3 linked regions of the Oryctolagus cuniculus genome follow. The protein of the gene in region 3 interacts with the protein of the main gene of each other region in a biochemical or structural test. Links are inferred from orthologs where the notes say so. Each region holds a gene or a part of one and is shown on either strand. Other genes may lie near its edges.

Region 1 (3,716 bases), on a different chromosome or scaffold from region 3:
GATTTTTGAAAAAGAAATTTTATTTGAAAGCTAGAGTGTCAGAGATAGGGAGATCGCTCATTCCCCAAATGGCTGCAATGGCCCGGGCTGGGCCAGGCCAATCGCCAGGAGCCAGGAACCCCCATCTGGGTCTCCCACATGGGTGCAGGGGCCCAAGCCCTTGGCCCATCTTCCACTGCTTTCCCAGGCGCATTAGCAGAGAGCTGGATCGGAAGTGGAGCAGCCAGGACTCGAACCGATGCCCATATGGGATGCTGGCCCCAATACTGACAATTTTAAATTCGGTTCGCCAGCCCACTGGCCACACATCCAGGGCCCTCACAGTGCAGGCCTCAAGGGTCCAGCTGCCTGAGTCGAGGCAGGAAACACCCCGGCTGGGTGCTTCACAGCTAACCGGGGACCTAGGCCACCTGTGTGGGGCGCACTGGCCTGGCGCTAGCCGGCTGTGTGACCTTGGGCACGTCCCCTCCCCTCTGTGCCTGCACTTCCAGACCGGCGTGCTCCCAGCATGCCCCTCTCAGGGCTCCTGTCACCACTGAACCAGAGAGCCCGGGTGAGGCTCCGGCTCTGGCTCCTGGCCCGCGCTGTGCGGGGAGAGCCTGAGGCCTGGGCACTGTGTGTCGCTGGGCTAGATAAGGGGAAGGCAGCGTCTCCTCCTTTCTCTCTTTTTAAATCTTTGCTTGAAAAGCAGAGAAAGAGCTCCTGTGCCCACCATGGCCCCGCCTTCGGGCTGGAAGCCAGGAGCTGGGAGCCAGGAGCTCCATCCAGGTCTCCCACGTGGGCGGCAGGGGCCCAAGCACGTGGGCCATCTTCCACGGCTTTCCCAGGGAGCTGGATCAGAAATGGAGCACCTGGGACTTGAACCGGTGCCCCAACTTGGGATGCAGCCCTCCAGGGGCGGCCGCTTAGCTCACTGTGCCACAGGGCCTGCCTCTGCTTGCCTTTTATTTTTCTTTGCAGCTCAGCTGCCCCTTCCTCCAGGAAGCCACCTCTGATTGCGCCTCTCCCCACACTACACCACGGTGCCTTATTTGGGTTTGCACCAGCCCCAAGCCTCCCCCTGTCCCAGCATTGACCTCTCTGGGCTGAGAGTCCTGGTGTCTCATCTTGCTGTGTGTGTGTTGAGCCAGGACAGGCTTGTGAGCCCAGCCCAGGGACCCTCAGCTGCAGGGGTCTGGGGGACCCGTGGCAGGGATGGGGTGGCCCTCCCACCGGCTCCCTGACCCTGACCCTGACCCTGACCTTGACCCCGCTCCCGGCCCGCAGGTGGTGAAGCTGAAACAGATCGAGCACACCCTGAACGAAAAACGCATTCTGCAAGCAGTTAACTTCCCGTTCCTCGTCAAACTCGAGTTCTCCTTCAAGGTGAGGTCCTGGGGCCAGGGCCGGGGCCGGGGCCGGGGCCGGGGCCGGGGCTGGGCCTGGGGCCGGGACTGGGACTGAGGCCGGGGCCGGGGCCGGGACTGGGGCTGGGCCTGTGGCTGGGGCCGGGGCCGGGGCTGGGCCTGGGGCTGGGGCTGGGGCTGGGGCTGAGGCCTGGGTCGAGGCCGGGGCCGGGGCCGGGGCTTGGGCTGGAGCACAGGCTGGGGCCGGGGCCGGGGCCAGAGGCTGGGCCTGGGGCTGAGGCGTGCTTAGCCCCACGGCAGCCTGTTTCCCACTCCCATCCATCCCGGGCCAGGCAAGCCAGGGCTGGCATCTCTCCCCTCCCAGCCTCCATCTTCTCTCCTGTAACCCGGGAGTGGTTAGGGTCATGGCGACAGGTTCCGGCACATTCCCTGCGAATGCCCTTTCTCCTGACCTGTCTTAGGTGCAACTTTGTCCAAGGCCCTGCCGCAAGAGCCGGGAGGGCCTCTTCCAGGCCAGCTTCACGGGGCGTTCGACCCAGGCAGGCGGTCACAAGGACCTGTGGTCATGGGGGGGAGGGGGGCTCTGCCATCACCATCTTGAAATTCATCTTTTTTTTTTTTTTTTAATCCTGGTTGCATTTTGCTGGGGGGCCCTGGTAACCTTCCTCTGTCTCTAAGACGCAAAGCCAATGGTAGAGCCCTCCCTCTGCCCAGGAGGGGCACGCTGGCCAGGGCCCCCTGCCCGCTCCCCCGGGGGGCACCTGTCAGGGCAGGCGGCACCTGCACCAGGGAGCCAGACAACTCAAACTTGGCCTCTCACAGGACAACTCAAACTTGTACATGGTTATGGAGTACGTACCCGGCGGGGAGATGTTCTCACACCTGCGGCGGATTGGGAGGTTCAGGTAAGCCGGGCCCCGCCCCCTGCCTCGGCCCCGCCCCCGGGGGATGGGATCCATAGGCTGCCTGCCTGTCCATCCCAGCGGTGGGCAGCCTGCTGGGGCCTGGAGCTGGCCGCTGTGGGCTTTGTCTTCTCTCCGTTCTGGCATCTGACTCCTGACCCAACTCGGGGCGGCTGAGGGGTGAAGCTTCACGCTGGCCGGCTCCATCCGGGAGCTCCATCCGGGTCTCCCACGTGGGTGGCAGGGGCCCTGAATTCCTGAGCCGTTGGCACCTGCTGCCTCCCAGGGTGCGCACACGCAGGGACCAAGCGTCTGACCCAGGCGTCTTTAGCGGCCAGGCCGGATGCTCGCCCCGTCCCCCGCCCTGCCCAATGCGCCTGGGAAGCATCCGCTCACGACTCCAGTGCCCGGGCCCCTGCCACCCACGCGGGATGCGGCTCCTGGCTCCTGGCTTCTGCCCAGCCCCAGCTCTGGCTGCTGCAGCCACTTGGGGGAGTGAACCAGTGGATGGGAACTCTGTCTCTCTCTCTCTCTCTCTCTCTGTCTCTCTACCTTTCAAATACATAGATAGATAGCAGACATAAAGGGACCCGTGATTGGGCTTGGTCTGGGTTGGACTTGCCTCTCCCTCTGCTCCAAGTTCGGTCTCAGAGTGTGTTTGAATCTAGCCAGGTCACGGAGTGCATTTGTAGTGTGTCCTGTAGGGGGCAAGATAGCGCCCATCGGACGTACCCCGATCTGTGGCTCTCCTGCTGGGCCGTGCAGGTGCGGGGGCCCAATCACTTGGGCCATCTTGGGCTGCCTTCCCAAGTGCATTAGCAGGGAGCTGGATCGGAGGCGGAGCAGCTGGGACTTGAACCAGTGCCCATATGGGATGCCGGCATCACAGGTGGTAGCTTAACCCACTGAGCCACACCACCTGCCTCTGTTTTCTGTTTTTTTTTTTAAGATTTATTTATTTGAAGACAGAGTTATAGAGAGGCAGAGAGAGAGGTCTTCCATCTGCTGGTTCAATTGGCCGCAACAGCCGGAGCTGCCACCAAAGCCAGGAGCCAGGAGCTTCTTCCGGGTTTCCCATGTGGGTGCAGGGGCCCAAGCACTTGGGTCATCTTCCACTGCTGTCCCAGACAGAGAGCTGGATCGGAAGTGGAACAGCTGGGACTCGAACCAGTGCCCTTATGGGACGCTGGTGTTGCAGGTGGCAGCTTTATTCGCTATGCCACAGTGCCGGCCCCATGTTTTCTGTTTTTTTTTTTTTTAATTTATTATTATTTTTTTGAGGCCAGCACTGTGGCATGTGGGCACCAGCTCGAGTCTCATCTGCTGGTTTTGCTCCTAGAAATGTTCCCAGCACCCAGGGCTGGCCCAGGAGCCAGGAACTTTCCCTCCAGGTCTCCCACGTGGGTGGGCAGGGACCCAAGCCCTTGAGCCAGCCCCCTGCTGCCTCCCAGGGTGTGTGCAGAACTGG
Region 2 (4,489 bases), on a different chromosome or scaffold from region 3:
TATCTCTACAGCAACCATCGTCTTGGACTTAAGGTACCCAGAGAGAAAGAAAATAAACAAGTCAACCTTACAGCCAATGTACACATGAACAGCAAGAGAGAGGGACTGGGTAGGAGGCAGCACAAACCCAGCTGGTGGGACGGAGAGTCTCCCCAGCCGGCAGGCGCAGAGGACCCTGCTAAACAGTCCTAGAACACCTGCCAACATGTCAGAATTCCACTGTCCTCTCTGGAATTTCATAGCTTCTCTGAGTGCTGGGAACATCTATTACATCTCTCGCCCCAGAGATGCCCACGTCATTACTGGCCGAAGCCCATATCTTCCCCAGGGCATCTGGCCTGGTTCCTAACACACCTGTGGCATCCTTTAGCCCAGCCCTAACTCCCTCCTCTGAGTGTCATGACCTCTGTCCCTCAGCTGCATCCTGCAACCCTCTGGGACCTGACCTCCATACTCAGCAGCCTCTGTTCAGAGCACTTTACACACGGCTGGGTCTACACCTATCAGATGAGGTAACTTGGCAAGCACCCAGTACAAGGTTCAGAGAGCATACGTTCGAGGTGTGAAAGACCGGCCCTGACCCTCCCAGCCTCAGGTACTACGGGGGATCTCACAGGTGAGGCTCCAAGGCCTGAGCCCTTCTGCTCCTCAGAGCCTAAGGCAGCGCAGCTCCTGCCCAGACCAGGCCACTGGGATCTGCAGACCATGAGGCATCACCCTCCACTCCGGACAGACGACATCTGCTTGCTGCACCACCAACTTTGTAATTTGATCAAAAAAGCAATCAAGTTCATCTGGCAGGATTTGTTCCCGAGAAGCCCTCGCCAGTAGCAGCCTCCCCTGATGTTTACAGACTCCCTTCCCTTGGGAGTCTGCTCTGCCGCCTGGTGGGCAGGGCAGGCTGGGTCCGTCAGAGCTGCTCACTCACTGCCCGTCTATCCTAAGTCACCACCAGGGCACGGGGACCAGGACAGGCCTGCAATGGCCACTACAGCCTCAAAGACAGAGGCTCCACGTGCCTCATATTAAGAGTTCTCCGTTCTACACCACACACCACCCTCCAGCCCCTCCCCCTCTTTAAAGACCAAACTCCTTCAAGCCTTCAGGGACCAGGGCAGAGCCGCGCTGCCTACGTCTCCTTCTGTCTTTTCAACCTGAGCACTTCAGCTCCCCAGTGCAACTCCTCGTCTTGCTTCAAAGTCCACCCACCCTGAAATTTCAACTCTCATCCAAGTGCTAAAACACACAGCGCCCGACTCCTGGGGCAGCTTCTCAAAGAGTCACATCCCCTAGGACCCCTTATGGAGAGGCCAAGAAGGAGGGATGCTCACCTCGGGCAGACAACTTCTTGGTATTGATGATTTTTGCTGCATACTCTTGCGTGGAGGTTTTCTTCACACACCTGCGGACCACAGAGAAAGCACCCCTGGAGGGAGAAGGGGGAAAGAACTGGGACACGGAGCAGCGCAGTGTGACACAGACACACTTCAGGTCTGAGGGCAGGGATGCTCCCCCCACCAGACCTCTAGCCACACTCACACACCGAGCCGTGACCACCTCGTGACACTGCACAGACGTGGTTGGAGTACCACCCTGCTCCCACCCCTGATGGAGGCCCCCGGCAAGACAGCAGCCTTAGCTTTGGGCTGCACATCAGGAGCTAGTGGGCGATGCTTAAAACACACACCTGCTGCATCTCACTGATAACCCTGGGTCCTGGGTAACACAACCAGGGGAGAGAAGGAAACACAGAGACCCTGTCCTTCTCAGCAGGAAGAGTTGAAGGTAGGGGAAGGAGAGGTCAAAAACAGGATATAATCAATCTTCTGAGAGAAAAATCCCTCTTAGCCATGGGGAAAGTGAGGCTCAATCCCCCTCCACGCGCGCACACATACGCGCGCGCTCACACACACACACACACACACACGGCTTCATCCCACTGCATCCCAGCTCAACTGACAGCAAAGGAAAAGAGAGGACACAGTTGTGAGTCTGACATCAACAGCGCCCTTTCCCCATGATATTTTCCTCTACGTCCCCCCAAATGGGAGCTCGCACTCCCGGGCTCTAGAAACGTCTGGGGGGCGGGCAGGGCGGGGGCTGCAGTGGCCGGGCTCGGCGCCGCGGGTGGGGGTGGGGGGGCCGGGGCTGCAGCAGCGGCCAGCTCAGTGCGAAGGGGAGGGGGATGCTGCGGCTGCGGCGCGCGGCTCCTGGGACCACTGCAGGGGTGGGGGGAGGGGCCGGGGGTGCTGCAGCGCTGCCCAGCAGCGGGGTTGGGATCCTGGAAGCGGCACTAGCGGGGGGGCGGGGCCGGCCACCAAACATCCCCCCCACTCCCAGGCACCGCAGCGGGTCTGAAGCTGCAGGGCTGGGGAGGGTCCTGAGTGCCAGGCGCGTGGGACGTGGGGACAGGGTGCACAGTGAGCTCCGGAGCAGGGTGGGGAGGGGGCGGCGAGCAGGAGGGGTCGGGGCAAGGGTGAGGGAGGGGCGGGGCTGGAGGGCGCCCAGGAGCTGTTTGGGGGGCTGCAGTCCCCGCGGCAGAGCGGAGTGCAGCAGCCCGCGCAGCTGCTGCGGGGCGCAAAGGGGGCTGCGGGGCATGAAGTGGGGGTCGCGGGGGTTCCGGAGGCAGCAGGCGGGAAAGGCTGGGGGTGGGGCGGGCCGAGGGGGCGCTGCAGCGGCCAGTGCAGGGCCGGGGGCGGGGCGAGGAGCCGCATAGCGCCCGGGCGGCGGGGGCAGGGTGGGGGGCCGCGGCGGGCGGCGGCGGGCGGGCCGTACTTGCCGAGCTCCTCGAAGAGCTGGTAGTCGTCGGTGAAGCGGGTGCAGGTGGCGGTGGTGGCCATGCTGGCGGGCGGGCGGACGCGGCGGTGCAGCCCGCGCCGACGTCGGTGCACAGTCACCGCCGCCCGGCCGAGGGAGCAAGAGGAGGAGACGGGGCTGAGCCCGGCAGCACCGCGAGACTTTACCGGGGAGAGCGAGGGAGGGAGGGACACCCCCGCGCCCGCCCGCCCGCCCCGCCCCCAGCCTCGCCGGCCCCCCCCCCGCCCGGCCCCCGGACCGCCCCCGGGGTGGGGCCTCCCGCCACTGGCCCCGCCCTGCCCGGGAGCCGCCCGGGCTGGGCCAGGCGTGCTAGAGAACCTGGAGGAGGGGTCCCAGCTCCAGGGCACCCGCCAGAGCGGACAGAGGTTTGCGACCAGTAGACTCGTCCCGGAGCCCACCCTGCAAGGGCTTGGGAATGTGTGTGCAAGGGTGTACGTGTTAGGAGTGGTGGAAGGGTCTGGACCATCCAGCTCTCCGGAGAGGCCCCCCCCCCCAGGCGGGGTCCCAAGTCTCCCCCCATCCCCACCCAGGGCTCACTTCGAGTGCAAGGCGTGCCAAGGTCAAGCAGCCCGAGTCACAGCCCAGCTGGTGCAGAGCCAGCTGCTAGCAGCCTGAGGTCGTGGAGCTGACAGTCTAGACTTGGGCAAGCACCAGGGCCATTATTAGGAGAACTCGCATCAGGTGCCGTTGGATCAGAGCGACCAGGCCAGGGACAAGGATACAGGTGGAGCTGTGCCTTCCTGTGCTGGATCTTAGAGATGAGAGAATGTGCTCTTTCAGGCCAGTGAATGAAAGGGATGGTGCGGTAATGCTTTCAAAAGGCTCCGTGCTTGGGCACTACAAAAGCAAATGGAAAGATGGAGAAAACATCCCCATTTTCTTGCAGAGCACCCTGCACTTGTGTGGCAGGGTGGATTTTCTGGTGTGAGAGACAAGTAGAACTACAGCATATTTATCTCAAGAGGGAACTCAGATTAGACCACCAGGCTCAGACTGGCAACTCAGTGGCCAGTTGTGTGAACTTGGGCAAGTTACTTAATTTTTGTCTGCCTCAGTTACCTTATCTGAAATTAGAAATAATAATAAGTATCTACCTCATAGCATTGTGAGCATTAAATGAGCTAAACCACATAAAGCACTTAGAATAGTACCTGGTACCTAAATAGAACTGTTTGCTGTTATAATTTGTTTAATATTTGCCTTCTCACTAAATTATAGGTTCCAATAGGGCAAGGCCTCTGCCTCCTTTGTTCACCACCATATACTCAGCCCCAGACTCAGTAAATATTTGCAGAATGTTAAAGGGAGTTATCACCCCTTCTTCTGTCCCTACGAGGACAGGTTGGTGGGACAGAGACACATAATTCTCAATGGAGGAGAAATAGGCTGGAAAGTTTTCTACCCTGCCTGAGAGAGCTGTACCCCAAGTCCAGTGCCAGCCCCTACTGGGCAGGATGGCGCTCAGCCAACTGCAGCAGCTCAGCCTTGATTACAGCAGGACGCCCACTGGGAGGCAGGCCTCCATTGTCTGCAGGCTCGCTCTGCCTGGAGGAGGCAGCTGAGAGGCGCCCCAGCCCTCCGAGCTGCCTCCCAGAGGGGTGGGTGGAGCAAAGCTCTCAGGGCTGGCTCCCTCCTTTCCCTACCCAACAGCCCTGGGTGCCGCTCTGAAAAC
Region 3 (4,413 bases):
GCATGGGGCTGTCCAGATCTCCAAGTTCCCTCCCCCATGTGGAAGGCACAATTGGGCAGACCACCCCGTGGCCCAGCTCTTATCTATTTTGGGGACCTCGTGAGTAAGAGGGCCCTCTAACCTTTACTAACCAGGCCATTGTCATTCCAAGGCCATCGTAGGTGTTGCTAAGGAAACTGATGCAACAGCCTGAGAGCCTGGACCAGGTCTCCATGACAACCTGTGACAGCTCACCAGGGTCTATCTGTGATGTCACCTGAGTCCCGAGTGGGTGCCCTCCCACTGCCGGCATACTCATCACAAACATCAGAATCCAATGGCAGTTTCCTGCCACAAAACACTTCAGCCTGTCTGTCCCCAGTGCTCACCCCAGAGATGAGCGCCCTGTGGGGCGGGACGGCTCCTGAAGCCCAGGTTATAGCTGAGCCCTCTGAGGACGGGAGAGGAGAGACTCGGCAGGCTGGAGGCAGAGCCTGCACTGGAAACCAAGCTCTCCCCTCCGCCTCCGCCCTCTGTGCCCTGGTGCCCACCCTCGGTCTGATGTGGAGGGGGACTCTGGGCAGTGCTGGCACCAAGTGGCAGCCCACTCCTGACTCTGTTCACACCCCTCCTGGGTAGGAGCCTGGACCTCCAGGCCCTGGCTGTGCCCTGCACGGCAGGCTGCCTGGGGGACTGGAGAGATGGAGGGAGGTCTTGAAGACTGTGGTGGCTGGCCCTGCTGGCATCCCAACCGCATCGGCCTGGGTTTCCCCAGCATGGGGCAGCCTCCAGCCCAGGAGCGGAGTGACCAGGAGCAGGGTCATGGCCAGGGGCAGATATTTTTAGCAGAGTTGCTGGCAGCTGCTTGGGGGGTGCTGGGAGGGAGGAGGAGCAGAGGCTGAATCCATCCTTTTCCCTTCTCCGGCAGTGTCTCCACCCCAGGTTTCAGAGCCCACACCTCGGCTGCAAAACATGGCCCCAGGGTGGCCTGCTCCCCACCCAGCCCTCACCCAGAAAGGCAGGCTCCTGAGGGAGAACTTCCGCCTCCCAGGACAGGGAGGGAGGGGAAAGGACTTGGTGTCCAAGCTAGCCCTCAATTTCGCTCCGATCTGAGTGATCCGTGGGGAGTGATTGTGCGCCCCATAACTGCTCTACTTGCTTGGACCATGAGCCAGGACCAGGAGAGAAGGAGACCTCACTCTGAAAGGGCCAGACCTAAATCTTCCCCAGTGGGGAGCTGCCGCACTGGACACAGCTGGTCCAGTTCCCCCTGGCCCGTCCCCTCCCATCGTGCCCCAACACAGTCCCTCTCTTTCTCCCTCCTCCCTTCTCCCCCTCGCCCCCCCTCTCAAACACAATCACACCAAGCCCCGGCAGCTCTCCGCCCCGCCCCTGGAGGGCGGGGGGGGGGGGGGGCTCAGTGTGAGGTCCCAGGAGGAGGGTGGGGATTCCCCGGGCGGGGGTGGACACGTCAGCCCCCGCAGCGGCGTGGGCCGGAGGCGGGGGCGGGCAGAGGCTTAAATAAGAGGCTTCGGAACCAGCCAAGCTGAAACGGCGGCGGCCGCAGGGGCGGGTGGAGTGCTTGTGTGTGTCCGATCCCGGGTGTGCGAGGGGGTTGTATTGGAGCCCGGATCCCAGTCCTGACTGTGTCTGTGAGCGCGTGGGTGAGTGTCCTGACAGCGCGGGGTGGCCACTCCGTCTGGGTTGCGGATGGGCCGCGGGTTAGGGCTCCAGGATCCTCGTGGCGGGGAGTGGACTGTGGCGGGTCCTGGGCGCCGAGCCGCTTGCCCGACTCGAGGTTGGGCAGGGGCAGCTCGGGCCTCATCTCCCGCGCGGCTTATGTTGCCGTCCCGCTTCTCCGTCCCCCAGACGGCGTCGGACGCGATGACCCTGAACGGCGGCGGCGGCGGCGGCGGCGCGGGCGGGAGCCGCGGCGGGGGCCGAGAGCGCGAGCGCCGTCGGGGCAGCACGCCCTGGGGCCCGGCGCCGCCGCTGCACCGCCGGAGCATGCCGGTGGACGAGCGCGACCTGCAGGCGGCGCTGGCTCCCGGCGCCCTGGCGGCCACTGCGGCCGGGGCGGCGACCCAGGGTCCGAGGCTGGACTGGCCCGAGGGCTCCTCCGACTCGCTCAGCTCGGGGGGCAGCAGCTCGGACGACAGCGTGTACAAGGTGCTTTTGCTGGGGGCGCCTGGCGTGGGCAAGAGCGCTCTGGCGCGCATCTTCGGCGGAGTGGAGGACGGGCCTGAAGCAGAGGCTGCAGGTGAGGGGATGGGGTCACCCAGGCGAGGGGGCATTCCCAGGGTCGTGACAGACGGCGCGTGGGGCGTGGGGGTGGTCTGGGGCCGGGGACCTGGACCGGAGGTGGCAAATACCGCGGAACTCTGCCTTTAGAATCATGCCTCTAGCCACTCTTTTTCAAGGAGGCGAAACTAAGGGAGAAGAGAACACCTTTGGCAGGGGACGAAATACCAGCGGCGAGGGCCCCAGGGTGTGGATGCTGCAGCTCTGTGGCAAAGGCTGGGCCATCCCTCCTTGCCAGGCTGCCAGGAAGAAAACCAGAGGGAGTTTGGAGGTGGCCAAGGCCCTCAGGGGGTGTTACAGTCACTCTTGTAACTCAGCTGCTGTGGTCAGAGCCCGCAGGGTGAGGCAGCAGTGCAGGGAGCGCCCCAGCCAGGACAGGGCCTACCTGGGGGCATGTCGCTGGAGGTCATGGGTGCAGTGCCCTCCATCCCCCAGCTCCCAGCCCTGTCACCCAGCAGTGGTTTGCAAGCGGAGGGGGAGGGGCCCCTTAGGGGGAGTTGGAAGGTGTGGCCTGAGCAGGAACCCCCCCACTGTGGGGAGGGCTCTTGCGAGTCAGGTGGTAACCTGGCTGCTGACCTTCTGCCTAGGGCACACGTATGATCGCTCCATCATGGTGGACGGAGAAGAGGCGTCACTCATGGTCTACGACATTTGGGAGCAGGTAGGATACAGGCTGAGACCCAGGGTGGGGTGGCAGGGGCCTGCTGGGAGTGACGGGCTCGTGGCAGGGGCGTGAAGTCCTGGGAACCACGTGTGAGTGTGTGTGTGTGTCCTTCAGGATGGGGGCCGCTGGCTGCCCGGCCACTGCATGGCCATGGGGGACGCGTATGTCATTGTGTACTCCGTGACCGATAAGGGTAGCTTCGAGAAGGCGTCAGAGCTGCGGGTGCAGCTGCGGCGGGCGCGGCAGACGGACGACGTGCCCATCATCCTCGTGGGCAACAAGAGCGACCTGGTGCGCTCTCGCGAGGTCTCCGTGGACGGTGAGCAGGCAGCAGGTCGGAAGGGGAGGGAGGTGCTGTCCTGGGCTGTGACCCAGTCCATCTTGGCTCAGCTTGAGTGTCCGGGGATCATCAGTGACTAAAAATGTCCAGGAAGAAAACCTGGAGGGGCGGGAGGGCCGGGCAGGGGAGAGCTGCTGCCCACCCACAGGGCTGCGGGAGGCGGGACAGGACTAGAGGGAGAGCCCAACTTGCTGGGGGCGCAGGTGCCACTCAGGCCTCTCCTCGCCGGCCCCTTTAGCCCTGGCCTCACGGGTGGGCTGGGAATGCGTAGAAGGCAGTGCAGGGCACCAAGCCCGCAGGTCGGAGCCTGGATGCCAGACCCAGGCCGGTCTTGGAGTAGGCTTGACCCTGTAGCCCCCAGGACCCAGACCCTCAGAGGAGCCCAGTGGTTCCTCCTTACCCATGGCTTGGCCGTGTTGCCCCCAGGCCCCCGTCCAGGGAGCCGTCACTTCATAGACCACCATCGTGTTATGATGTCCAGTGGTAAAACGCTTAGCACTCCAACACTGTTCGGGTTTTCTTGTGTTTGCGACCTCTGCACTTCCCTTTAAATATTAGACTCCAGGTTGCTGCAGCACATTAACCAGGGGTGGGGACCCCTGATTTGGGGACTGCTTAAATGTGGGCACACTCTGTCTGTGGGGTGGCCCTCGGCCTGAGTCTCTGGGTTCTCTGTGCCTCTCGGGAAGACCCCGGCACTCCCTGCCCTTGCCTGCAGACTCCGAAGTAACAGCTGCCAAGGGCAGCTGGGGTCCGAACGGGCTCCGGAGCCACCCTACCCAACTCTGCTGACTGGCACGTGTCTGTCCCCACCCACACCAGAGGGCAGGGCCTGCGCCGTGGTCTTCGACTGCAAGTTCATCGAGACGTCGGCCGCTCTGCACCACAACGTCCAGGCCCTGTTCGAGGGCATCGTGCGTCAGATCCGGCTGCGCAGAGACAGCAAGGAGGCCAACGCCCGGCGGCAGGCAGGTGCCCGGCGGCGGGAGAGCCTCGGCAAGAAGGCCAAGCGCTTCCTGGGTCGCATCGTGGCGCGCAACAGCCGCAAGATGGCCTTCCGCGCCAAGTCCAAGTCCTGCCACGACCTGTCGGTTCTCTAGGCCCCATGGGCTGTCACCGCGGCGGGCGG

What was found.
Region 1: of the proteins of RRAD (region 3) and PRKACA, one has a biochemical effect on the other in vitro, tested with the Homo sapiens proteins (2 studies listed by BioGRID). The link is inferred for Oryctolagus cuniculus from reciprocal best matches to the Homo sapiens genes RRAD and PRKACA.
Region 2: of the proteins of RRAD (region 3) and CAMK2G, one has a biochemical effect on the other in vitro, tested with the Homo sapiens proteins (2 studies listed by BioGRID, with this or other methods). The link is inferred for Oryctolagus cuniculus from reciprocal best matches to the Homo sapiens genes RRAD and CAMK2G.

Annotation. Positions count from the first base shown.
Region 1 is NC_091447.1:62,974,203-62,977,918, reverse strand, and holds part of PRKACA (cAMP-dependent protein kinase catalytic subunit alpha), read left to right. Parts: intron 1-1,266; coding exon 1,267-1,365; intron 1,366-2,168; coding exon 2,169-2,251; intron 2,252-3,716.
Region 2 is NC_091446.1:64,901,912-64,906,400, forward strand, and holds the start of CAMK2G (calcium/calmodulin-dependent protein kinase type II subunit gamma), read right to left. Parts: upstream 2,973-4,489; 5' UTR 2,841-2,972; coding exon 2,776-2,840; intron 1,427-2,775; coding exon 1,332-1,426; intron 1-1,331.
Region 3 is NC_091449.1:49,756,814-49,761,226, reverse strand, and holds the start of RRAD (GTP-binding protein RAD), read left to right. Parts: upstream 1-1,460; 5' UTR 1,461-1,643; intron 1,644-1,848; 5' UTR 1,849-1,863; coding exon 1,864-2,239; intron 2,240-2,867; coding exon 2,868-2,941; intron 2,942-3,058; coding exon 3,059-3,263; intron 3,264-4,106; coding exon 4,107-4,384; 3' UTR 4,385-4,413. UniProt on the Homo sapiens protein: May regulate basal voltage-dependent L-type Ca(2+) currents and be required for beta-adrenergic augmentation of Ca(2+) influx in cardiomyocytes, thereby regulating increases in heart rate and contractile force.